Drosophila melanogaster: one gene and its partners. The protein of the gene in region 2 interacts with the protein of the main gene of each other region in a pairwise test. Each region holds a gene or a part of one and is shown on either strand. Other genes may lie near its edges.

Region 1 (8,471 bases), on a different chromosome or scaffold from region 2:
ATTGATCCACTTTCAGGGACCTCGCATATCCTCCGTAGCCAAAGCCACTGGCAGTACCACCACCCCCACCTCCTGCGGCAAAGTGGGGACTGTGGGAGTGACCTCCATCTTCGTGAGTGACCGAGTGCGAGTGGCTGGAGGTGTAAATTGGTTTAGCCACTATTTCGTATGTGGTGGACTTTCCCCCGCCACCGGCCAAGCTCTTTAGACCGAGGACTCCAGACAGGGTCAAGGCCATTAAAGCTGTCATCAGAGCCTTTCCGGCCATCAGAGCGATGGCCCCGAGGCCCATGGCCATAAGCATTCCCTTCATCATGACTCCAGCCGCCACTAGGGCCTCCAAGCCTCCTTTCTTGCCGAACTTGTGCTTGCGACCTTCTACGAGGGACTTGTCATCCAGCAGGCGAAATCGTAGGAACCGCGTTCTCAGAAGGTTTTCCAGTTTGGCTACTATATAGCCATTCAAGCGAGTGCTCGGGTCACTGGGATAGCTGCGAGCAACTTCTGTATATTGTCGAAAGTTAAAATTTTTTGTCTTTATTTTTGTGTTTTCAAGAACATACCTGCCATGAGCTCCGATGTCTTGAGTTCGGTGGCGTTCTCATCCTTGACCACGCTGATTCCTGGCAAAACGTTTAGTTCCTCCTGTTCGGCAAGCTTTTCCATGATCTTGACAAACTCGATCTTGAGGCACATCCAACTGAAGGAAGATGCTTCACAGCCACTGAGAAGGCTCTCTGCCCTTTGGGGTATTCTAATGGTTTCCGGAGCAACTGCAGGCACTTCGGTGGGCTGGACACTGGCAGCCGTGGCATATTTGCACATGAAGGCGAATAAGGCCAAGTAAAAAAGATATTTCACGGTCTTGGTCAGCAACATCTTCGCTATCTACTGCAATGGAGACTGTTTGTGAGTCTGCATCATCTCGATTTGAAGGCCTTCGCTTTTATACCCGCTGCCACGGTTTCCATTCGCATTTCCCTTTCACCAAACCGTACTCCGTCCGTATTGGGGCCCTTGTGCTTTTCTAATTACTCAAACGATTTGTGGTCGAAATTCTTCCCAGCGTCAGTCAGCTGCGTCCAACTGGGCGGCACTTTCGCTTTCCTCTGCGCCAGCGGAGGTCGGTCTTGCGAAACGGCCGGCTAATTCTGTCACCAAAAGTTCCAGCCAATGAATTCCCCAAGAGTCCGAGAAGAAAACTCTCCCAGACTCGGGAGTTCAGGTAATTACAAGTGCCTGATAAACGTCGCGTGCCTCGGACCTTCATAAATTAAGACCCAACATTTTGCCTGCCTAACTGGGACTAACTAACAACTCATTGTTAATTATTACTTCATTTTCATTTGTGTCTGACCCAGCGTCGTTTCGCTACTTTCTTTCCTCGTATTGGCCATGAAGAAATTTATCTTTCCACGCCGAGAACGACCTGTTTAATATTCAGATTACATGCAGTGCTAATGACCAATTGGTTGGTCGACTTTTGATTTTCGCTTTTTGCCTAGCAGGTGTCTTATTTCCCAATCTGAGCTTATAGTGGGTGCTTGGAACGATTATGCAATCTACTAGACTACTACAGTGCTCACTTAAAAACAGTGTTTTTAATTTTATTAAAACATTTTTGTTGACAAAAATATTGTTTTCAACATACTCTTATATGCTTTTATACGTTGTATTTTTATTGTAAAGATAAGACAAGTTATTTCGGGCATAATAAAATGAATTTAAATAAATATTTATGTGAAGTATGTGACAATCTTTTGTGTGTTGATCCTTTTAATTTTTCTTATGAAGCTTATCCTGATGTACTCTGTGTCGTTGTGGTTGTAGTTGTGGTCCACTTGTTCCTGAATTTTTCTCCAAATCTTTCGAACAATTTGGTTCCATTGTTATTGAAAGGCGGGAATCGGAGCTGTCCAACATTTTCCACTTCCTCAACCACAGGGGCAGCTTCGATTGGCTGCTCGGTGTTCACAGCATCATCTTCAGTTATGAGGGGTTTTCCATCATCCTCGACAGGAAGTGCCCAGGCCAAGGATACCAAAAGGCCAACAATCAAGGCGAATTTAATCTGACAGCCAATGAGTTTGTTGCTTAAGCCGTTCATATTGATTCTGTTGACTTTTGGTCAGCATGAGTGGTGTTTTTATACCAACGCCAAGTGGGACATTTGATTAAACATCAATTAGGAAGTTGACGCAAAGAAAGCCACGGGCCCAAACTCAACTTTGCTAATATAATTAAGTGGAAATGTGTCTTCAATGGATTTGTTTTTGCAAGAGGTTCAAGGAAAGTGTTTAAGTAAAAGCCACTAATTTCACTTTCCAGCTTGATGCTCACACTCTTCCTAGTGATTTTTCAGAAAATACCTTTGAGACTCAATAAGGAAGCTTTGAGCCGGAAATTATACAAGTCATTGCCTTTTTAAAAGTATAATACCTGTACATTTCCAAAGTTTCCGACTCGGGCAAAAAGTTTAAAGATTCTATGGTTTTGCATTTGATGAATCATTTTTATTCAATTGCTTTAAGTTGTACGAATAAATACTTAGTAAGTAAGCTCTTTAGCAGGCATAATCTTCGTTGCTTTCGATGAACCTGAGTGACATGTACGACCGCCAAGAGACATGTGGATGGGGAAATGTGCAATAATTATGGCGCAATCATTGATTGGCCGTAGTATCCTTAAGCATTGTCCTTTGGGCTAGCCAAGAGTCGAGGGACCGTTTCAATAGTTCTCTTTTTTTGTGATTTTTTTTGGTATGTCGCAGCTAACTAACTAAATGTAACTAAATAATTATTGACTACGAATTAGGCCATTCTTCAGGAAAGTCTTAGAGGGATAGGTTGTGGAAATGGTGATGAAGTGGGGGGAAGTTGAAGAAGGGAGACGCTTTGGTAGGATAAGATATAGCAGGTGAAAGATAGAGGCTAGTACAGAGTGGGATGGATGGATCGGTGGGTGTTTTCCGGCTTAGAAGGGCTGGGCCAGACCATAGTGGTTGTAGGCCAGATCGGCGGCACCTGCCTGACCATTGCGGCTCCAGTCGGAGTGCACGATGTCGGCGTTCAGCGGGCTGCCGGTGATGTAGGCAGTGGTGATGTGTTCCTTCTTCTTGGCCAACAGATCCTTGAAGAAGGTGGCACCTGTGCGGGAAACGTGGGTAAAAAGTGCTATTCCTGAGATCATTAAAAGTAAACTCACCAGCCAGGATGAGGGCCAGGAAGGAGATGGCCAGAGCCTTCAGCGAGATGAACTTGATGATGGTGAACATAATCTTGACAACGACGGCCTTCTTCAGCTTCAGGGCCAAAAGAAGGGGCAGCAGCATCTTCTTCATGCGCTTGCTGCGGGACTCTGTTTATTCCGGGAGGGAGAAAGTAAAGAGAAATCGGGGTTTTAGCCATGCTCCTAAAAGTATTCAAGGCCTGGCAGTCGAGGTAAAGCTTTCACTTCGCTTCCCGTCAGCACAACTGAGTATGCTAGTAGTTTTGCTTTTGGCAGTTGGCTTTCTGCACAGCAGAGTGGACCTTAGTACGTTTAGCCTTAGTAAGTAGACTTTGAAGTGTTCGTTTACCGTACAGAACAGGAACGACTTGAGAGCCAGGACGGTTTACCAAAGCTATTCTCGTATGCGCACGAATGCCTCTGTTTTTGTAGTAATTAATAAAAATGTAACTTATAACTCGTTTAAAATTATTTCAAAATTCTTTGGCTATCAACTCACGTATTTACTACCATTCTATCGATTTATGTCTCTCAAAAACATACAAATTTTTAAATTCTGACCTAATATTAAGTATCTAAGATATTCAACGCAATATGAAAACTTTAAAAGCAAGTAGCTTAAATAGCTTTTTTTTCTTTGGATTAAACTATATTCTGTTTTTCAAATAAAGGAAACCAAGATCACTCACCATCCATGGCGCGTCCGGTGTACTCGTTCTCGGAGTTCTCGTCCTGCTCATCGCCGGAGAAGGAGAGGTTTAGCTCGTGGGTCTCCAGGTAGCGCTCGGCGCGGTCCTCGAAGGACTCGACGGCCTTGGATGCACCGAAGCTACGGCCCGACTCCGACCGGTCGATCCTCAGACCGCCGAACAGCGCGACGGACTCCTCGCTGTCTAAGCGGTTCAGCATGTTGACCAGGTCCCGCTCGGTGTTGTCCTGGGAGGGAAGGGCCATGGAACCGCACACAAGGCTGGCCAGCAGCACTACACATACGAATTTCGCGCACATTTTTATTAGCACTTGGGGGTGTCTTGACTTTGGGTAGGTTATAATCCGTGGGACGGCTGCCTGGAGCTGGTGAGTGCTGCCGATGTGAACGGGAATCGCTTTGTGATTAATTGAATGCACTGCCCCCGCGTTTTATACCATTTCGATTTGACGTCGATTGACCAATTTTGTGGCTAGAAATCGCGTGGCAGGCCAAAAATCCAAAACGCACCGCTCGCCGCTGCAATAACAATAACAATACCGAACGGCAATACCAAAAATCCAAAAGCAATTTATGCAAAGCATATGCGTATGCTACCTGGCCGGCAGTTTCTTGACCATATTTCCACGCACGTCGCGATGTCAACGAAAGGGAAGTGGCCAGTGGTCGGCCGGCTGAATATTATTTTTTTGTATATACCATACATATATTTTATATAAGCAAGTGGCCCGATTTCGGGTGCTCGACCGTTATCCGTATCCTAATTGGCATTCAATGGAGTCGCCGGTGCTACGTGTTGGGATTGCCTGCGCCAGATTCTTGGCCGGTTGTTCCTCTCCATTAGCTCCATCAGGGCTCACGATGGAGCGGAGAATATAGTGGTGGATCTGCGAGACCCACACGTATTTGGTATGCCCCGCCGGTGGTGACTTAATGCACAATTTGGCCCAGTTAGTTACTCTGGCGCTTTCAACGCTTTCGATTTCATTCTCCCTTTGTCAACTGTCGTTCGTGGCTTGTTTTCTATTTCAATTGCTTCTAAATCTGCCTGTGAAAGAAAGCTGAATTGTAGCACATCGCCGCATATATCTCTTTTCAATCGCAAAGTGACACTTTTATGAGCATAAGTAGAAAGTTTCTGGCAAACAATTAACATGCCGAACGGCCGTCACATGGCCACTAGAAACTCCAATTATGAGCAGGCCACCAACTTGCCAAAAACTAAATCCCCAGCTTATCAGCTCTTTTTCTCAACATTTTCTGTGTTCTTTTGGGTTTTTTTTTGTGTTCAGAAACAGAACCTGCCACAAGTTTTAATTGCCAGCCGCAAACTTGTTGCCGCCCAGCGAGCAAAGTTCCACATATTTGTTTTGGGGTCTGTCAGCATTTCAATTAAGCCCTGGGAAACTGGGAAAGTCTCTGGGCACAGGTGAGCACTGTCCACGTGCGTGGATTTGCGGATTATATTTTTTTCGGGTGCAATACTCTTGGTTTTATTCATACATTCGACTTGACTTGCGGGTGATGTGTGCGTGGTGTGTCAATAAATTAGTTAATTACATTTCGAATAAATTACTACAGGCTAAAGGTTTCAAAACGAAGGCACATCTGTTTGAGCTGTCTCCCAGCCGCTTCTACTGCTGCTGCTGGCCGGCGTAGGCCAATTGCTGGGCATCGGACCCATCCTCGCTGATGCTGCGGGCATAGGGATAGGACGAGGAGGCTCCCGAGCTCCAGCCGGCGCTGGCGGGTGCGGACCATGCGTTCGAGTTGTAGGCTCCGGCAAAGGAGTTACCTCCGAACTTGTTGCCGAATCCGCCCAGCAGGCGGGATCCGCCGACCAGAATGGCCAGGAAGAAGGCCAGCTTGGCCACGATCACGGCCTTGAAGGTCAGCAGGGCCAGAAACCCGAGCACCAGGGGAATGACGGCGAACAGCTTGGCGCCAATGGCCAGAGCCACGGGTCCCAGCATCTTCTTGATCTTGCCACGGCCTGTGATTGGATGTTAGGTAACCATGTTTTATCGTATCCCAAGTCAAAACCCACCTTCATCGAGGGCACGAGCCACCTGCTGGGTGGTCTCGGCGGGCAGCTTGAACTCCAGGTTGTGGGTGCTTAGGAAGTCGGCGGCACTAGAGACGGCCAGATCCACTAGACGACCAGTACGCTCATCGGCATTCTGGGGCAGCTCGGCATAGACATCCTGCTCGCTCATCGATTTTCCCGTGCGGGAAACGGGACTGGCGGGATCCCTAAAATGATATTGTAAGTTATAAATACATTTTCACATTTACTTAACTTTTATGACAACTTATATGCCGAATGCCTCTAATGTCTTATTATACCACTTTTAAATTTACTGTCATAATTTTTGGAATTATGTAAGAATTCCAATAATAATTAACATTAATTATGAAGTGTTTTTAGCCTTAGCCTTGGCTCACCATTTAAATCTATAAAGACCATAAAAAATGGGTATCAGAATATAACTATCTAATAACTAATTTCTCTAAACTTATTTTTAATTGCCTACATATCTTGATATCATAATTTCATTTTAAGTATCTTTCCTAGTCAACTTTTGTGATGCAATCACTACTTTAACTAACACGGATTGAAGATTTCATCTCGGGCACGTTCTTCTTTTGGTTACAGTTTCGCTTTCGATTTGGTTTTTGTTTCAAGAACCAGGCACTTTCACTGTTAAAAAACACACACCTCTGGAAGGTGACTCCACTGGCCAGCTCGATGTTGTTGCTCCTGGCGGCGCGGTTGAGTGCGGTGATGCCCTTGACGGCCAGGCAGGTGGCCATGTCGTCGCTCTCCAGACAGGCGCCCAGATACCGGGCGGCCCGGCCCAGGGTATTGTCGCCCTCGACCTGGTTGTCTTGAACACTGGGCGCGGCAAAGACGCAGCTGGCCGCCAAGAGGGTCACACAAGCGATGGCAAACACTTTCATTTTCGATCGATTGGTATTTAGACGCGGTTAATCCTTGCTAATATAGCTGATCCGGGGTTTCAATTCTGGGCTTCGGGCTGCTGCTTTTCTGAGGGAGCGCTGAGATGAGTTTGATGTATGCGTCTCCGGACATCTAGCCTTATATATTGGGCCTCTCGGTCGGCGTCGCAGTCGGTGCGCATTACAAAACAATTCAAAAGTAAATTAAATAAAGCCCGGCGAGAGACGGCGGAAGTTATGGCCAAGACGCGAAAAGAGCGAACTCCGAATTGGAGACAGGGCCCAAAAAAAGAGTCACAGACGCAGCCGCATAAATCTAGAGAACGGCGGGGAAACAAAGTCAACTTGTTTGTTAAGTGAACATGTTCATTTCGGTCTGCCTTTTTTTCGGCAGCGCCGCTCCGGCGACGTCGTCATCCGTCAACGTTGGCGTCGCGGAGAGAGAAACTCGTACTTGGACTTGGTCTTGGTCTTGGCCATTGGCCAAAAAGGGGCGCCCTGGAGTAAACAGTCGGCCCATTGGCTTAGGTCTGCACAGCGACAAAAATCAGCTGGCTTACATAACCGGGGTGGTCCACGGTATCACTTATAACTGCATTCCTTGGGCTGTCTTGAATCCTAAAAAGTCTCAGATTATTGAAACCAAAAAGTGGTGCTTTGGGTCCCCACGGACACGCCTTCAATGAAGCTGGGGCCCTGGTGTTTACCGGTGGTCTGAGCCCTCGGCTTCACGTTTGCGCCCAGCTTTCATCAGACTCTCGCAATGGCCAAGTCACATATTTGCTAATTTACTGACGCTTCTTAACCGATCCGGTTGCCGTATATTTCACGCAGCCCATTTATGAACGCAAAAATGTGTTTTTCTCTTTCTCCGGCATTAAATGGGTCAGTCTTATTTGCCGTAGTTGTTTTTTTATTGTTGGGATATGGTGAAATAGTGTTTAGCACTTCGATGATTGAACTGGACTGTGTGGCTAATGTGTCTATGTTGTAATAATTGAAAGTTAAAAGGGCTGTGTGGATGGAGAAGGAGGTCATTGAGAATTTATATAACAAGCTGAAAGGAATTTGCACTAACAGAATGATAAATAACCTTAGTGCAGGTGCTTAACACAGCATTTCCTTTATCTTGTATGTTATCGATTCGTAAAGGAGCTAATTTTTAAAGCACATACACACATATTCTGAGAATGAACAACAACCAAGGTAGGAATGTGAAATTAGTATATTTACATAAAACAAGATATTAAAAAAGGTAAGGAAAAAATTGCACTTCTTAGAATTCAATTCGATTTTTCCAGTTGACAAGGATAATTTCATTTGCATGCCTTCAGGCATATCAGTATTAATTCACTATCTATATCTCAAAAACAATTTCCAATGAAAACCTAAAGGAAGTGTGAGAATGGACAGGCAGAATTTGAACAGTTGCCTTCTTTGGAATTCTGCAAGCAACACGCAAATGTATTATATCTAAGACTAAATCTGCACTCAATTCCCCAAACGATATAGTTTCTCTAGCGACCTGAGACATTTATACAAAGCAAAGCCCATCAAATGGCAGTGTGAATTT
Region 2 (7,446 bases):
GGCGACCTGTGCCTCTTACACGATCCGAATCCAAGTCCAAATGCGAATCGGAGCGGAGCGTAGTGATTCACGAACTGATCCGCTGGCAAATGCGGATCGAAAATTGGCCAAACGCCAACGCGACTTTGTCAAATGTACCCGTACGAGCCCAGGCTGGAGATTTCTTTTTGGCCGAAATGCAAGTTGGGGGCTTAGTTCATTGCTAATGACGGCATGTTGTCGGTAACTCGATAGGGGAGTGCGCACTCGTATGTGTTTGCATAGTTGGGTGTTTAAGCATATTACCCGTATGTATGCACGAGTATGTCTGTACATATCTATCTGTCCGTCGGCCCCGTTCGATTTATTTGTCCGCGCTCCACAACAAAGACTCATAATAATCTGTTGGGCCAATCAAGTAAAATATGCGCGAGATCAGTCAACTACAGAAACAAAAGCAAAAGTAAAGCAAAGCCACTGCAGCAGCAGCAATAGCAAAAGCAACAAGCACAGCAGCCGCAGTAATGAAAGTGAAACCGAGTCTGGCCGAGAGACTCTGGCTGAGATTGAGACCCGGCCAAGAGTCGGTTCTAGCCAGCACCGCTATATAAGCTTGATGGCCGGGCTCGGCAGCAGCAGTGCAGCGCCGACCAGGAACCCAATTGGAAGTTTGAGCTACGACTCCATAGTCCAATTCGGCAAGGATTACCATAAGCCCCACACCAGAACCAACTCCACAACTACCAACCACCCACTCACCTCAGCCAACATGTTCTGCAAGCTGGTAAGTGCCCTTTGAGCCAAGTTTCTGCCCACAAGGATAGCGTCTGAAAAAGTTCCTTTAACTACTAAGTGGAGCTGGAATCCAAATCTGCAACATTTTAGTTGAAGTTCTTAAGATCCGAGGATCCTAAGTTCCAGATATTTTTCAAACTACAGATGTATCTTATTACATTTAAAAATTCCATATTTTTTTAAAATCTTTTCAAAGCTTTTCGCTACCTTCGTGGCCCTGGCGGTGGCCAAGCCACAACACCAACCTGCTGCCCAGTATCCGGCTGGCGTGAATCCGCAGGACTGCCCCAACTTCCCCATCTGTGATAATGCGCGCCTGCACAATCCGCAGCCGCAGTGGGGTGCCCCGCAGCCACAGTGGAACCCCCAGCCGCAGCCACAGTGGAACCCGCAGCCACAGTGGCAGCAACCTCAACCCCAGTGGAACCCCCAGCCGCAGCCACAGTGGCAGGCACAGCCCTCGTGGAACGCAGCCCCTGCTGCCGCACCCGGTGGCGATAAGTATCCAGCTGGCGTCAATCCGCAGACCTGCCCCAACTATCCCTACTGCGACGTGAACGCCGGACACGCTGGTGCTCCCGTGGCAGCTCCTCCTCTACCTGGCTGGACGGAGCGTCTGTATCCCGCCGGAGTTTCGCCGCACCAGTGCCCCAACTTCCCGTACTGCAACTAGGGCGGCCTAGGGCTCACTTGCGGCCAGCCGCAGCTTCCTTTAACGCTTCGCCTTTCCCCAGTTCTCAATTAGTGGACATTAATCTGAAATTCTTTGTTGTTGGCGCCGAAATAAATGCAAAATGTTGGTCAAAGAAATGGGACTTTCTATGGTTGATAGCTGCAGATACATGGGGGTATACAAATCGTTCTATTCGCAACTACAACTTCTTACTATATTACAAAATGTAATTGTTGGTTGGTTCATAGAACTCTTACTAATGAAGAAAAGATTAATTGACCAAAGTAAGCATTTATAATTAAATAAAGTAATTTGAACTGTCTACAATCAGAAACTCATTCAGTCAAGTGCGCTAAATGAGGTATGAAAGAAGACTGTTAAGATCCTGCTCCATGAAACTTGATTTACAGAAAGGAATGATCCTGCTACTTTAAGCTTGAATTATATGACGGAAATATCCCAAATTCTCAAGTTAAATTGATAAGAGTTCCGAAAGTGTAAAAGGTATATACTTAATTAAACATTTCCACTGCCCTAGGACCAGTTCTAGCTGAAAAGCGTGCTGAACTAGGAACCAAGAGAGCTCATGCCCCGAGAATGTGCCCTGCCACGCCCCTGACTTGCAGCACAGTAAGTACTTGGGCAAGGAGCGGAGTGGACGGACCGGACCGGATCGGATCGGATCGGGTTCGTGGAGATCGTAGGAAGGGAGAGATCGGAGCGGAGCGGACGCGGACTGGCGGTCGACCTCAGTCGGAGCTGGTCAAGTGAGTGCTTTGTGAAAGTCGTTCTTGCAAAACTTCGGCTTAATTGCCGCCTTTGGGAGACCGGCCCAAGGTCAAGTGCAACTGCAAATTACAGTCTTGCAGTGGGATTAACTAATGGAGCAATGATCCAATCGAACCTATCACATTCCCGACCAATTCACCTGAAATATGCGTGCAATCATTGCTTTATTTATAATCAATATAGCATTGCCCCATTTTTTTTGCTCTTTTTTGGCAGTGTGTGAAAAAAGTGCAACTCACGAAAGTAATTTTACAAACAAATGTAATGGGAAGTGATTATGGGAAACTTATTGCATGAAAAGGAATATTCGAATTCTTGGAATCCAAAACGATTGAACCAAATGAGATGAGATATAGTTATTTCGGTACTCTACGATGATTATTCCACTTAAAATGCAGATCGATTTGTAAAAATTCAAGTACTTTATTGCTACAATCACAGTACAATTTATTACTTGGCAATGGATCACATTCAGATGAAGAGAGGTCCTCCTAAGGCGGCGTAAAAAGAGTACGCCACTAGCCAGGAATAAAGGCAAATAACTGAAGCAATGGGGAAAAATTAAGGGATTGTGAAATCTTAGATACACTTAGCTACTTACAGAACATTATAGCATACGTGATCATTACCCAGAAACAAACGGCGAGTATGACGTCGGATACTATCAATATGAGCATTGCTACCGCCATGATCATAGTCATTATTATGTAGAAGAGCATCCAGCTGCTCCGTAACTAGATCAAATCATAAGTATTATAATTTGAAACTAATCAATTGTACTGGTATCTCACCCGTATACTGCCGATGATCAGGAAAACGCAGCTCAGGATGTGCAGCATAACGAAGATAATGAATAGGGTGTGACCCAAATCGGGAATACCTATGGGTGTTAGGATCATATCCTTGCTCTCAAGTATCCTGCTTCACTTACCCGACTCCCCAAATAAAGCAACAAATGTGCCTCCAAGGATATCCGCTATAATGTGCAAAATCCCTATTGCTATGGTTCCGATTCGCAGATCCACGCAGCAGCAGCAACTCTGTAGATATATCATGGTGCAAATGTGGTAGTGTGTCTATTTGTGGCTATTTGCTATCAGGGTATTAGTATTTGAGTATCTGAGTATATGGGGTTTTTATTTTATGTGTACAAGTTCTGTCACTGATAACAAAAATCTTTTGAAAAATATTACTTAACAAGTAGGTTATATTCTACCATCTTATATAGTATATAAATATAGAGATAAGCAAGTTTCGAGTCTTCAAAAGTAACCATCTATCCTAATCGCAACAACTTAAAAAGCCTCAAATAACAAAATCGTTATTTCATTCCCATTAAAAGTATTTGGTTTATTAGATTACTTGTGAGCCATCAAACACTAAGGTTCCACTTCAGGGAATCCTGCCATAAATACGCCAGGATTGTTCTGTGTACAGTCGAATTGTGATTTATTTACATTCATTAACTTAGCATTGTACAGTATTTACAGGCTGCTTCAGATGGGACTGGCTGAGTGGGTGGGTTTGAAGACAAGCAGGCCAGCGGGCAGATGGCTTACAGCCAGCCGTGTCCGTGGTGGGAGCTCCAGCCGTGGTGGTCGTGGTGGTCATCGAAGACATGGTGCACCGGGATCTCCTCGTGATGGACGTGGTGCACCGGCACGGGGATCTCCTCGTGGTGGACGTGGTGCACGGGCACCTCCTTGTAAATGGGCACCGGCACGTGCTTCACCACCGGCACATGGACCTTCTGAACGTGATGGTGGTGCACCGTGTGCACCTTGTAGGGCACGTGGATGGTGTGGTGCTCGCTGCGGATCGAAAGTGAAATCGGTTAGATCGAATGCCATGTACCATCGCCTGTTAGCTAATCAGTTGCTTGAACCCAGCGTCTTGGCAGACATGGCTATTGCATATTGGCTATTGGCAATTGGCAATTGATTCGCACAATTATGCGCGCATTACGCTGAATTAAATGCCAACCGCCGCCTGCGAAATTCCTAAGCCGCGAGCCAAGCCAAGTCGAGATCGGCTAAGTTCAATGGTAGCCAGTGGTGGGCACCATATAGAGACTGCTGGAGGGGGCTGGGGCTCTAAGTGCTACAAGCGTTTTGATTGCTCAATTCGATCGCAATCGGACACATATTTCATAGACCCACGGAGCAGTCGCAGCGTTTAAAAAGCCATGCGACCGCTCGTTAGCTTAGCATAAAGCGGGAAATGGGTATTTTTATCGATTCGCTCGGGTTATTTATGGATCAGTTCAGGTGCAGATCGCCGCCGATACTCACTGTTTGCCAAAGAAGCCGGGACTGGGTGCGCAGTAGGCCACGGCGAAGAGGGCGACGAAGATCTGAAAGGGGATAAGGAAGTTAGTAAGTTAGGTCCGGCTAGATTAACGCAAATAGCTAACTAATCAGTGTGATTAGTTTTAATTTGGCACTTCAAAATTTATGTTCAATTCTGGTGAAATCTAAGTAATCTAATGAAATGTTAGTCCGCGATTGATAAACATAAACTAATATTTTTGGGTGAATTTATATTTCTGCAAAATAAATGCTTTCGCAGTTTCTTGAAATATCTATTCGAGACTTTTTAAGCCATCAGGCGATCTTGGTGGTATATTTCCAATACTTCGGTTATCGAAGTCAGTTTTCAGTGAGTTTGTTATGTTTCAGTTGGTTAGTTTTATTCACGATAGTCCACATGAGTTTAATCCTTTTCAGCTCCATTCCGCGGAGGTTTGGCTTAACACTTTTTCGAACGTTATCCTTGTCGCACTTACGAATACTTTCAGGACGGACATGGTGGCTGGGCTGAGCTCTGCTGCACTCGAAAGGCGATACTAAAACCGGAGCACTGTCAGGTGGTGACTGATAACCACAGGCTGCGACTCATCCGTTTTATACCGGGCGCCAGCAGCGCTTTGTGTTGTTGCTGCAAGCCGACTGCGCTGCACGAGAAAGACGTGACGTCGGTGCAGCAACAACAGCAGCAGCAGCAGCAGCAACAACAGCAGCAGCAACTTCAACGGCCAAGCGAAAATAAGCATAACAGTGGACGCGCGACTGTTAACATGGCCAACATGGTGTAGTGATATGTGATTTGTATTAACCGTCGTTGGCATCTGTTTACGAGGGGTTAAGACCCTCTGGTCGGTGGTAAAGAGGGACTGGGAGCGGTGGTCCATGCTTCAGTTGTCCACAATGGCAGACGATCGAACTTTGACTTGGCGGGGCTTTGTGTAATACGGGGCAAATTACGTTCATTTCATAATCATAATCGCAAGACAGAGCGCGGAGTGGAGCTAAAATCATTCCGAATGCATGACCAAGTAGCACATATACCGCCGCTGACTGGATCACTTAGCGGCCTTCTGTAGACCGCCGCAAAAAGTGAACGTGTGCGGCCGGAGACAAAACAAAGTTGTCACGCTAATCCAAATTTCTTGGCCCTTCCATATCGCTTGGAAGACATCTCCACCAATCGACCTTGAATGTCTTCTGTGGTAATAGTGGTAACTGTCGTCGCTGGTGTCAATTGATGTGGGTCAGCGTTGGAGCTACAGGAGTCCAGTCTTGGATGTATCCCCAGCGAAACTCACATCACGACGCATGGAGCACGAAACACGTACGCCGTAAATTTGCAATAAAACGCATTTCGGGCAATTACTTAACAGTAGCAGTAGATGTGGCGCTAATCAAGCAATGCATCACACGATTTTGAAGAAATTCCATTTTGATTGTGTTTGTGTGGATTTGTATTGTTTTTGCCCATTCTACAATGCCACAATGCCCCTGACATAACGCTGGCCACGTCAGCTGCTGTTGCAACTGGTTGTTGCATGTTGCATGTTGCTGCCGTGCTGTGCTGTTAACTCAACTGTCAAGAGCTTCAATTTGCGGCGTGCTTAACCCATTTAAGGCTGAACAAGGAGCTTCCGTTCAGAAATATAATCTATAATCAAAATGGGGTAAGTGATATATGCACTACTAAGTCTCCACAAGATTTTATATCTTTAGTCTGGCAACAAGATAAACAGAGTATTATAGTTCAACCTAATAAAAAGTGGCTCCAAACGGGTTAAACCATTAGTATCACTCGCTGTTTTTTTCTTTCACTCACTCGGCTTTCATGTGTATATATAGGCCAGTGTGCTTTTACTGCGTTTGAGGGCGCACCACTGCCATCCTGCCCCACCGAGCCATCGAACCACCAAAACACCGCACCATCGGCTTTCCCCACCCCGTTCGCCGGGATGTTATTGCATTTGCGGCAAATTGCTCGTTTTAGCCATGCCAAATTGCATAATGGATATTTGTCTGAGCGATAAATATGCCATAGCTTCCATGCCACGCCCCCCCGGCCACCCGACCAACCCGCGCCCCTTCTAACCATGCGTGCCCGTGGGCAAAACCAAACAATAATCCACCCGGTGGCCGCTGCGGTGGATGATTACTTTCGCTTTCTGCGAACGCGCTGGCGAATCGGCTCGGTTCGGTTTGGTTTGGTTTGGATCGGGATCCCGGGATCTGCACATGCAAATACTTCCTGTTGGGTGAGTTTTGACTTCTGTGAATGTGGACCACTCGAAAAACTCGGACCAACTCCAGATGTTGTACGGAAAGAAATTGGATCGAGGATTCGATGGTAGAGATGGGATTAGGGAATACGACGGGTAGTATTATTCCACCTCTTAAACAGATCTAAAATACATTTTGATTCGTATTGAATTTTATGTCTTGGGGTTCTTTGGAATCTGGAATCCATTTATCATACACAAGTTATTATTGTATAGCTATATATATGATTCTCATTAGATGCACTAACAGGATCACAGCTCCAGCGGTTACTTATCTGCTCTCAACTTGGGATACATTTCTCGCTGTGCAACAGGATCTATTAAGTCAGATTCGAACAGCTGGCCACTGGACTCAGGCTCCAATTGAGACTGTGTGACGCACATGCGGACTCAATGGACCACTCAGCACCAACATGATGTAAAACACGTCAAGTGCTCGTCGTTATGTATGGCCAACCGAAGTGGCCGTCTAATTGGACGGCGGAACATGACCGGCTGTTCAGTCTATCGGTTGAACATGAGTGGACAAATCGTTTGTGATAAAAGCGAGCAAGATTGATATGGAATATGCGGCTCATAAATCATTCTAGCGCGTTCCATGAAAGATAGATGTACGCAGAAATAGGAT
Region 3 (9,173 bases), about 13 Mb from region 2:
GGTACGTTGGCCGAATAAAGATAAATCCTCCATGCTCCCGGGAACCCAGAAAATTGGCATTTCGCGGACTGGTGAAAGCCAACTCATGGGTGCCGGACCGGGCATGCTCCGCCTCCACGTAGATCTCGTACAGGTGCTGGAACAAATCTTTCGGAATTGCGACTTCCCCCTTCACGTATTCTTCTTGCTTGGGTTGCTTAATCTCCAGCAGAATGATCAACTCATCGCTGCCCATATGATGTAGTCCGGATGTCGTAAAGTTCAGCACCCATCGATTCATACAGCAGCTCACTGGGGGTTAAAGAAATGCCATTTAGAAAAATTTAGATTAGTTTAAAGTTCCAAAATACTGACTGTTAACAATCTTGACCAGCACAAAGAAGTTGTTCTTTATAATGAACTTGAGCGTTTCGTTCTGCAATCGATCTAGGAGTGATCCATCGTTGCGCACTACTTTGTAGTCCACCTCACCGCCCTCTTTGCTGCTTATACAAATTGGGGGCAGGCCGTTCTCCTCCGGCGGCAGATAGCAGCCTTGGGCATCTCCGTTTGGCGGTAGTTTGCGATTCCGTGATGATTCCGCTTTGCGACGCGGCGAGGTCTGTGCCTGCGATTGGGATGAGGAGCGACCAGCTGGAGGATACAAACACATTGATTACATAAAAACGATTTCGATAAAAGTGAAGCTTTCCCTTACCGCTTGTCTCGGTAGCCGATAATGTGGCAGCCGCTGCGCTTGGTGGAATGGAACCGCGGAATAGCTGTGCCACTAGGCCCAATGTAGAGCTAGTGTCAATACTGCGAGGTGGCTCCTCTGTCGCAGGCGTTGGTGGCTTTTGACCAGCTCCCGAGCCGCTCCTGGATAGTCCCCTTCGAGAATGCTTGGACTCGCCCCATTGCTGCTCCATGGTACTGGCCAGTTCGCTGCCGGGCGCAATGCCATCACTGAACATAACACTCTTTCGCTTTCTTTGGCCCTTTTGGCCATCCGAACTGGAGGAATTGGAGGAGCTGCCATCGGTTTTTTTCAACACACCCACGGGCACAATCACACTAGGTGGCGGAGCACCCGGTGAGTTGGCCACCTGACGGTGTGGTGGTATTGTAGAACAATATTCCATTGGATTGTTTGGGTTTGGCGAACGAATGGGAGTGGGCGGCAATGCCGAACCCGGTGCTGACTCAGAATTCAATCCATTAGCCTGCCGCTCAGAGAGAATCATATAACACTGCACACAAACCCTAGACTCGGGTTCGGTGGCGAATTCCAATCGGAATCGTTGCGAACAGCAGACAGAGCACAAGACCTTTCCGCAGGCGCGACAGTGGTGACGCCTTTTGATCATGGTGAACTTTTGCTGACATTGCATGCACTGCCCGGCCATGTTATCCGGGACCCATATGGGTGGCACCTTGCCCAGATTGGCATGCGGATCGCTGTAGCCCACTGCTTCGTAGATAGGACTTTCCTCGTCATCCTCGCCGGGTATAACACCTACTCCTGCCGCTCCTTCCCTGACTTCGGTAGGCTGCAAAGTTTCCTGTTGAATTTCGGGATTTTCATCTTGAGATGGCGTGGAACTTTCTGCCTGGCAACCATTCAAATTTAGGGTTTGTGGTCGCTGGGGGCGCTGCTCTTGGGTTTCCAGGGCATCCGTTGCCAGGCTGGCATCTTCATGCTCTCGATCGACCTCCACTTCGCCATCTAGTTTCCTGCCCGAAAGGGAATCCGATTCCGTGCTGCTGAAACTGGAGGCTACATCTTCTCCCATCGCGGTAACTGGTGTGGACTCCGGCTGCTTCAGATCAGCAAACTCCACAGTGGAGGCCTGCGAAAAGTTGTCCACGTTCATCTGATCGTTCGAGGTTGTCTCCTGCTCATCGGATAGAATCCGCACCGACTCCTCCTCGGTCACTGGCGAGGCGGAGCAGGATTTCTCATCGTCGGGCATTTGCTGATCGTCCGCCTGGTTGTCATCTGCATCCATCTCTTGCAGCATGCTGTCCAGTTCGGTGTCCGAGATCTCGTCCATGGTGGAGCAGAAGGTCAACGGTTGACTACGCCTGGGATGCTGCTCCTGTGGCAGCTCCACATCCTCTTCTTCCGTTTGTACTGGCTGCTCCATCTCTTTAGGGACCGGTACTTCCGCAACAGATGCTGGCTGAAAATGTAACACCATTATTAATAAACTATACTATATGTCAAGATAGTTTATAACCTTAATTGATTTATGAAGCTGATAATATTTTTAAACTAATGCGCTACACTTATTAGTCATTTACACAAACAAAGTAAGGTAATAGTACTTACTAAATTGGCCAATGGGACATCTATGCCGTTGGTCATTTCGGTTTCGGGTTCTCTACTGGGCGACGATTCCTCCGAGAGCTCCTCGAGGACCTGCCCGAGAACAGACGATGCGGTGACCTCCTCCGGCAATAGGGATTGCGATTCTGTGCCGGACGCAGTGATGGAGATGGATGACAATCCAACTGCTAACTCCTCTACAGTTTGTTTGGATTGCGTTGGCGGTGGAACAGCCTGATCTTGGTGCTGGTCCTCATGCTTGACCTGTTCCGGCTGTTGATCCTGTTCCTTTGGCTCCACCTGAACTTCACTCGTTTTCTCATCTTCGGGGGGCGTTGCTAGCTCCTCCGAGTGACTGCCATTGCTCACGGGCGACGGACCCGACGAGAAGGTGGAACAGGATGAGGTGGTCAGCGATTCGGAGGACGATACTATCGTCTGGCCGTTATTTTTGGACGCCTGTTCGCTGAACTTGTGGATGTCGTCTTCGTGTTCCGCCTCCGTTTGCCAGTCGTAGCTGGGTAATTGGGCATCCACCTGCAAGGACTTCACATTTTCCCTGTAGTCATCCAGGCTGTTGAAAACCTGAGAGACGCCCACAAAGGACTTTCCAGACGCCGGTGTTGGTGTTACTCCCGCAGCTCCCGATACTCCGGCGCCAGCTCCAACTCCACTGATCGATGCACTTGCTCCGTCGCCCAGAAAACGGCCAGGATTTGCACCTGCAGCTGCTGCTGCCGCTGCATTTCTACTCAGCTGCTCATCGGCGGCAATGCTCAGTTCCAGATTGTCCAAAACCTGATCAATGTCCACCAAGTCCATGGCCACCAAATCCGCAGAAACCTTAAATAAAATTGAACCAACCAGGTTTATCTGCTTGCATTTTCACAAAAACGCAAAAGAGAAAAAACAACACAAAAAGATGTGGAGAAAAAACGGTCTTGTGATTCATACCTTTTTCACACCTCGAATATAGTCATAACAAGGCAATGAGGAAAACAAGGACGTATTCGCCTTTAATAAGCAATATTAAGCACCTGCAATCACCTTATTTACTTTGTTTTCTTCTCGCTAATTTATTAACAAAAACTCGGTGACGAAAAACATTGTAAGAAACTGCCTAAAAATAGCCATGGAAACAGTGTTGCAAAGACAAAAAAAATTAAGTCAAATTAGCACCTTTCTCATTTAGTATTTTATGATGCTATCTCGTTCTATCTTTCTCTATAATCTGTTACTGTTACAATGTTAACATAAACCGTAACACCTTTTCAAATTTGAAAATAATAATAGGTAAAAGCTGTCGGGTCCTACACGAATATGAATGCTTCAATTGTTCAATATTAATGCGTATGAATTCAAACAAATCTATTAACATTGGGTCTGGGAAATTTTAGCCGCCAGTCTGTGTTTTTAAAAAAATGTTGGGTTGTACAACTGAACTAACAGTATCACAGAATAACAGTGAACGTACGAGCAACCGAAACAGTGTAAATCAGTGTAACCGCAGCTTAGCTCAAGAAAAATACTATAAGCATTTAAATATGAAATCTTGCCGATTTAAATGAATTCAAAATGTTAATTATATTTGATTGAATTATTATTTGCCTATCAAACATTTAATAATTCTATAATAATATCTTAAGCAAATCATGTAAACAAACAGTAACATAAGAATAAAACCAAAAAAATTCAAGATGTTAAAGTAACATTTTTAATCGCGAAATTGTAACAGAAATATATAAATTTTAAATGAGTACGCGTTTCGGAGTGTCTATTTAAGTCATCACCCAGCTAAGCATAAGAATTGGTATTTTTTAGGAAATGCACAGCTTGGATAATTGAGTCGTTTCTGCATCTGGTAACATTGGCCAAGTCATTCGAAAAAATTTTACGGAGCGAAGAAGGCACGGTTACGTCCGGATTTTAGCGCGATTTCGTGTCTGTTGTTTGGTCGGCACTCGAGTGTAAAGAAATTTGTACATCCCCGAAAAGAATCGCGAGTGCAATTTTGTAAATACGGAGAGGAAAAGGTGCGCAAAATAGCAAAAATAAATGCAACGAAAATAAACGCAGCAAAACAACGGGCAGAAAGATACGAAAAGAAGAGGCAGGCGAAGCAGAGGAGAAAAGAGACACATAAAGAAGCCGCCATAGCGGCGTTAGTGGGAAAGAGAGGGCGCGAGAGGAGACGGAGAGCGAATACGAATGCGTATGGTGTAGTTGTAGTGGTGGGCGGTCGTGTTTTTTTTCGTTGAAAAATCTCTGGATTCAAAGGGAAAAACAGAAAAACAAAAGGAAAATACAGTGTATTATACGAAAAATTTGTTAAATTTTATGTTTTTAAAATTATAAATTACAAAAATCGAATTCGATTAAAACACCCACACACACACCAATACACACAGTAGTTGCGCTGTTGTCTCCTCTTTATTTTTGTGTTTTTCTCTCTGCGTAAACGTTTTGTTTATTACCCCCGCTCTTCTACTTCCTTTCTTTGATTTTAGCCGCGCGCGCATACGATAAATTGTTGTTAATTTTACAGTGTGTAATGCTTAATTAATACCCTGTCTCTCCAACCAACGCTATCTCTTTTGTTTTGCAATTCGATTGATAACACATCGGGAATAGTGTGTGTCTGGAAAATAAATAATCATAATAATCATAGTTTCATGTGTGTATTTAAACAGCGTTCTTCTAGTGTGAAACCAGTTTAAAAAGCTGCAAGAAATATATATAGCTCAATATATATATTTATATATGTGTGCCGCCGCCAGTTCTAATCTTTAAATCAATAAACAAAACTGGAAGCCATTAGCTGAAATCACAACAACAGCAACCGCAGAAGAAACCAACGGGGAAAATGAAGCCAAAGCAGAAGATTTCCGTAGAGCCGCTATTGCTAGTCGCAATTCTCATCGGAGTTCTGGTAGCCGCCACCCACGCTCAAGATCAGGTAAGATCTCAAAAATTACACCCGAAACTACCAAATGTTATTAGTTTACGTTGAGATAAGCCAAAATCAATGGCCAACTTCAAGTTTACCTGGCCAACCGAAATTTAGCCGACTTTGTGATAATATTAATGTGGCTTTAATGGCCATTGAATGCTTATTCATATTAATACGTCACACAGCTTGATTAATTACGAATGGGTCATTATTAGACATTGCTATCCTTTTGTAACGACATACACATGCCCACCAGTTTGGGCACAAAGTGGAGCATTTAAGTGGCCCCTTTCAAAAGCATAGTTGCGTAAGCCCATTGCTGCTTGTAACTGCTTACCAATTAAATCGAGGCAGATTCAATCAGCAATCCGAACTCCCAATTTTCGCCACCTTGAGAGGGTTCGGAACTCCAAGTTCGGTTCGATTTCTTGTTCACTTCAGTTGTTTTTGCGGTTTGCGGTTGTCCAATGCTGTTTCTGTTGTTCTTGTTGTTCTTGTTGTTGCACTTATCATGCAAAATTCGGCAGCCCCAAGGTGGATACATGTGTCATATACCCATGTACCATGTGGCAGAGGCTTGACGGGCAACGGGCATGGGCATGGTCAATCTCCAAGGCATTGCACTGAATGCAATTTGTGGCTGCAGATAATGAAGAGGAAAGGCCTCCATGTCCCGATGAATGTAAGCCGTAAGCTTCTGGCTCCATTGCTCCACTCCTTGGCTTCTTGTAGAAAAGACATTAAAAACGTCTGCATTGCGAACGCATAAATATGGCAGTGAACTAGACGCACAGACATCGGCACTGTGCAATATATATATATAGATAGTTATACATAGATATAGATATCGATATAGAGGACGAGGCGGCTGCTGGTCAAATAAGGCTGCAAATCCGAAATGGTCATCGACTCCAACGCATCGCATCCAGCCATCCATCGATGTTGTCGACTGTTACCCATTAGCGATGAGAGATGAGTGCCGCCACAGAAACAGATATGCCGCCACGTTCATATGGGGAATGCTACTCGGAGATATAGAGATGATTCAATTTCCGACGAATTCCTTTCTATTCGTCTCTCGTGCTTTCTTTAATCACCTGCTCTGCCCAATGAGATCATTTGGTGTCTGAATGTGCTGTTTTGAAAATTGTTTACAGATTCGAAACTGGCCTCTTTGGTGTTTTCCACTCATCACACAGTATTTTTGTCATTAATTGAGTAGTTTAATTTAGATTTACCGATTGTAAACTCTGCTTTTAAAGGGTGTTAACTTAGCAAAACCGGTTAAATTAATGGGCAAGTTGTGTAAATTGCTTAAAACAATTGCCAAGTTGACATTTATGTATTAGTGAAGGCAAAAGTTGGATTTAAACTGCATAATTTCACTTAAATTCTAAAAACTAATTTGAAGACTTGAGTTGGATTACTTATCAGCTTTTCTTGTTATCTAGCGCAATTACTCACATTAAGATTTATTGGCTGATAATAAAACCAGCTAATGAATCAGGCCGCAAGCCCAAAGGGCAATATTAATGTCTCCTTCTTATCTTCACCAAGTATTTTATGTAATTTAGCACATTTATTACATTCCGTGCTTTCTTGTTAGTTAATTATCCGAAATTAGAAGTTCTATTGAGATACGGTAAAAATTTAACAGCCAGTTTTCTTCATTTTCCGCAAAGAGTTTACAGTTGCATTTTCCACAGCTCATCACTGGAAAGCACTTCTTGATTTGGGCCTGGGTTCTGGGCCAGTTTTTGATACAACTTCTGCTACTGGTCACGATGATCTTTGGCATCGTCTGTTGCCAACAAAAGCATCCGGCTATTGCCAATTTCGATGGCTGTGTTTGCCTCTTTCACTGCCTGTTTGTTTGTTTGTTTGTTCGCTTGCCTGTTGGTTTGTTTGCCTTTATTGGTGTGTGACTTATTGGCCCGAAAAATTTCTACACACACTACTTGCACATAAATAGTGCGATGGCCTTTTACCCCTTCGCAAACGCCCGCCCGCCCCTCTCACCCATCTAAAGCAGTCTGTAATCTTGTTTTTGCCGTTCCTTCCATCTTGTGTCCTGTTTTTGGTGTTTGTCACTTGTTTTTGCCAAAATTGGCATTCGTGGTTATGCCCCCCTCCTCGGCTCCTTCGTAGCTCCTTTCCCTGTCGTCGAAAACATTTTGAGAACGTGCCCGGAAAATTGATGAGCAGCACGGCGAGAGATGGCTATAACTTCACCGGAAAGAGGGTGCAAGTTTAATGGTTGTGACTGCTGCAAGTGCCACACTATCTATTTTCCGTTGCTAGCTGTTGCCTCATTTACAAAGTTGGCATAAATCCATTATCTATGGCCATATCCTAATGTCCCTTAATACGAGCGTAAAAACATTTTAATTTTTTTTTTTTAAACATTTTAATATAACAATTAGGATATAAAGGTAGTAGCATTTTTTTGAATGTAACTGTAATTAAGTGTGGAAGTTAGTAAGGGATAACACTCGGTTGCATCCTCTCACCTCAAAGGTGTGGAAACCCAATGTACCACGCCTCCTTTTGCATTGCTCCCTCCCGTTTTCCGCATCCCTACCAACTGCCTGCTGTTTGTGTTTATTTTCCTTTCTTGGAATACCGATTCACATTGCCAGACGGCGACAGACAGCGATAAGGTTCTGCCGATATTGGGTTTTCCATTCGATCGATTCTGTGGATCTGGCTACCTAAACAACAAACACTTCCTTGAACTGGGTAATCAAATTCCGATTTTTGTCCGCTGTAGATGGTGAAGGAAATTTGAATAAAAGATTTTTTTAAGGTTTTATTTGAGTTGCAGATTTGATCGTTGCTCTGAATCCAAGTTGAATCATTAAAGTTGCTGAAACGCAAAGATTCTTTATTTGCATATTTCTTTAAATTGTTTATCCTTAAATATTTACATTTTTATTTCTTAGATTATATAATCTTTTAAAATCTATATTATTATTTGGCTTTGATTCTTGCTTAGAAGCCCATCCCACAATTTTATTCAAATTACGATTTATTTTCCGTACACATACCAGTTTACTTCTCCTCCACTCATTCATTTCATTCAATCTTTGTTCATTACCTTGCCCATATGTTCATTATCAACCCCTCTCGCTTCCCCTGGTTTCCACCATATGCGGTTTACATTTTTTTCAATTATTATTCACGTGTGTCTTTTTTCATTTGCCTTTGCATCAGCATTCAAGTCTCATGTTGTTGTTGTTATGCACTTGCAATTGCTCGCTGCGTCTCTTTCTATTCCTCCTCCCACCTTTTCGCCTTTTGTCGTGTCTCACCTTTCTGTAAATTATGTTTACACGAAGAGGCAAAAAACGAAGTTTAGATACCCTTAAAGTTGTAATCATTTATCCCAATATGTTGTATGTTGAGTGGAAAATATGTATCGGCTGTGAGTTGTTCAATAACAATCGACTATACCGGTCACTCAGGTAGTAAAGCGCTAGATTTATATGCATACAGAGTTCTTATAATCGTTACATACTATTCAACGAATGTAGTATACCCTTCAATCCACCAGTAACGGGCATATAAACAATGCAATTATCAAATGGCGACTTGGTGACAATGTCAAAAAGTTATCGTATATAACGAATAATGTCATTTTAAATATTTTTTATTAAATGTCACATGAGCTCATAAGCAGCAGATTAATTGCGGTAATCTAAGTTCAATTGAAAATCCCCACAAGTAATCTGCGTCAGTTGCCAATTAAGGCAGGCAAACAAGATCATGTGGAAAAGAGAGAGAGAGATACACAAGAGAGTGGTAAAAACATAGCGAAAGAGAGGGGAAGCACTTGTAATTTTGTTGTAACAAAAACATTTTGAATAAATTTCCAGCATTTTTTCGCTATCACTTGATCAAAAATACAATTTAATT

Evidence for each region. Proteins that work in one complex are often made in the same cells at the same time.
Region 1: the proteins of CG43183 (region 2) and Osi15 interact in a two-hybrid assay, tested with the Drosophila melanogaster proteins (one large-scale study listed by BioGRID).
Region 3: the proteins of CG43183 (region 2) and Sdc interact in a two-hybrid assay, tested with the Drosophila melanogaster proteins (one large-scale study listed by BioGRID).

The regions. Positions count from the first base shown.
Region 1 is NT_033777.3:6,297,678-6,306,148, reverse strand, and holds Osi15 (osiris 15), read right to left. Parts: upstream 4,346-8,471; 5' UTR 4,237-4,345; coding exon 3,918-4,236; intron 3,358-3,917; coding exon 3,205-3,357; intron 3,147-3,204; coding exon 2,974-3,146; 3' UTR 2,496-2,973; downstream 1-2,495. Other genes in the region: Osi16 (osiris 16), read right to left, coding at 1-504, 564-879; CG46396 (uncharacterized protein), read right to left, coding at 1,796-2,107; Osi14 (osiris 14), read right to left, coding at 5,572-5,930, 5,985-6,190, 6,657-6,898.
Region 2 is NT_033778.4:8,588,166-8,595,611, reverse strand, and holds CG43183 (uncharacterized protein), read right to left. Parts: upstream 3,418-7,446; 5' UTR 3,292-3,417; coding exon 3,168-3,291; intron 3,117-3,167; coding exon 3,028-3,116; intron 2,971-3,027; coding exon 2,838-2,970; intron 2,779-2,837; coding exon 2,708-2,778; 3' UTR 2,643-2,707; downstream 1-2,642. Other genes in the region: CG8736 (uncharacterized protein), read left to right, coding at 749-763, 971-1,447; CG14752 (uncharacterized protein), read right to left, coding at 3,792-4,047, 4,528-4,589, 5,022-5,042.
Region 3 is NT_033778.4:21,476,182-21,485,354, reverse strand, and holds the start of Sdc (syndecan), read left to right. Parts: upstream 1-4,178; 5' UTR 4,179-4,341; intron 4,342-4,976; exon of another isoform or gene 4,977-4,998; 5' UTR 4,999-5,171; coding exon 5,172-5,264; intron 5,265-9,173. Other genes in the region: Sara (smad anchor for receptor activation), read right to left, coding at 1-291, 355-633, 698-2,162, 2,312-3,130. UniProt on the Drosophila melanogaster protein: Cell surface proteoglycan that bears heparan sulfate. Required for axonal and myotube guidance, is a necessary component of slit/robo signaling and is required in the slit target cells.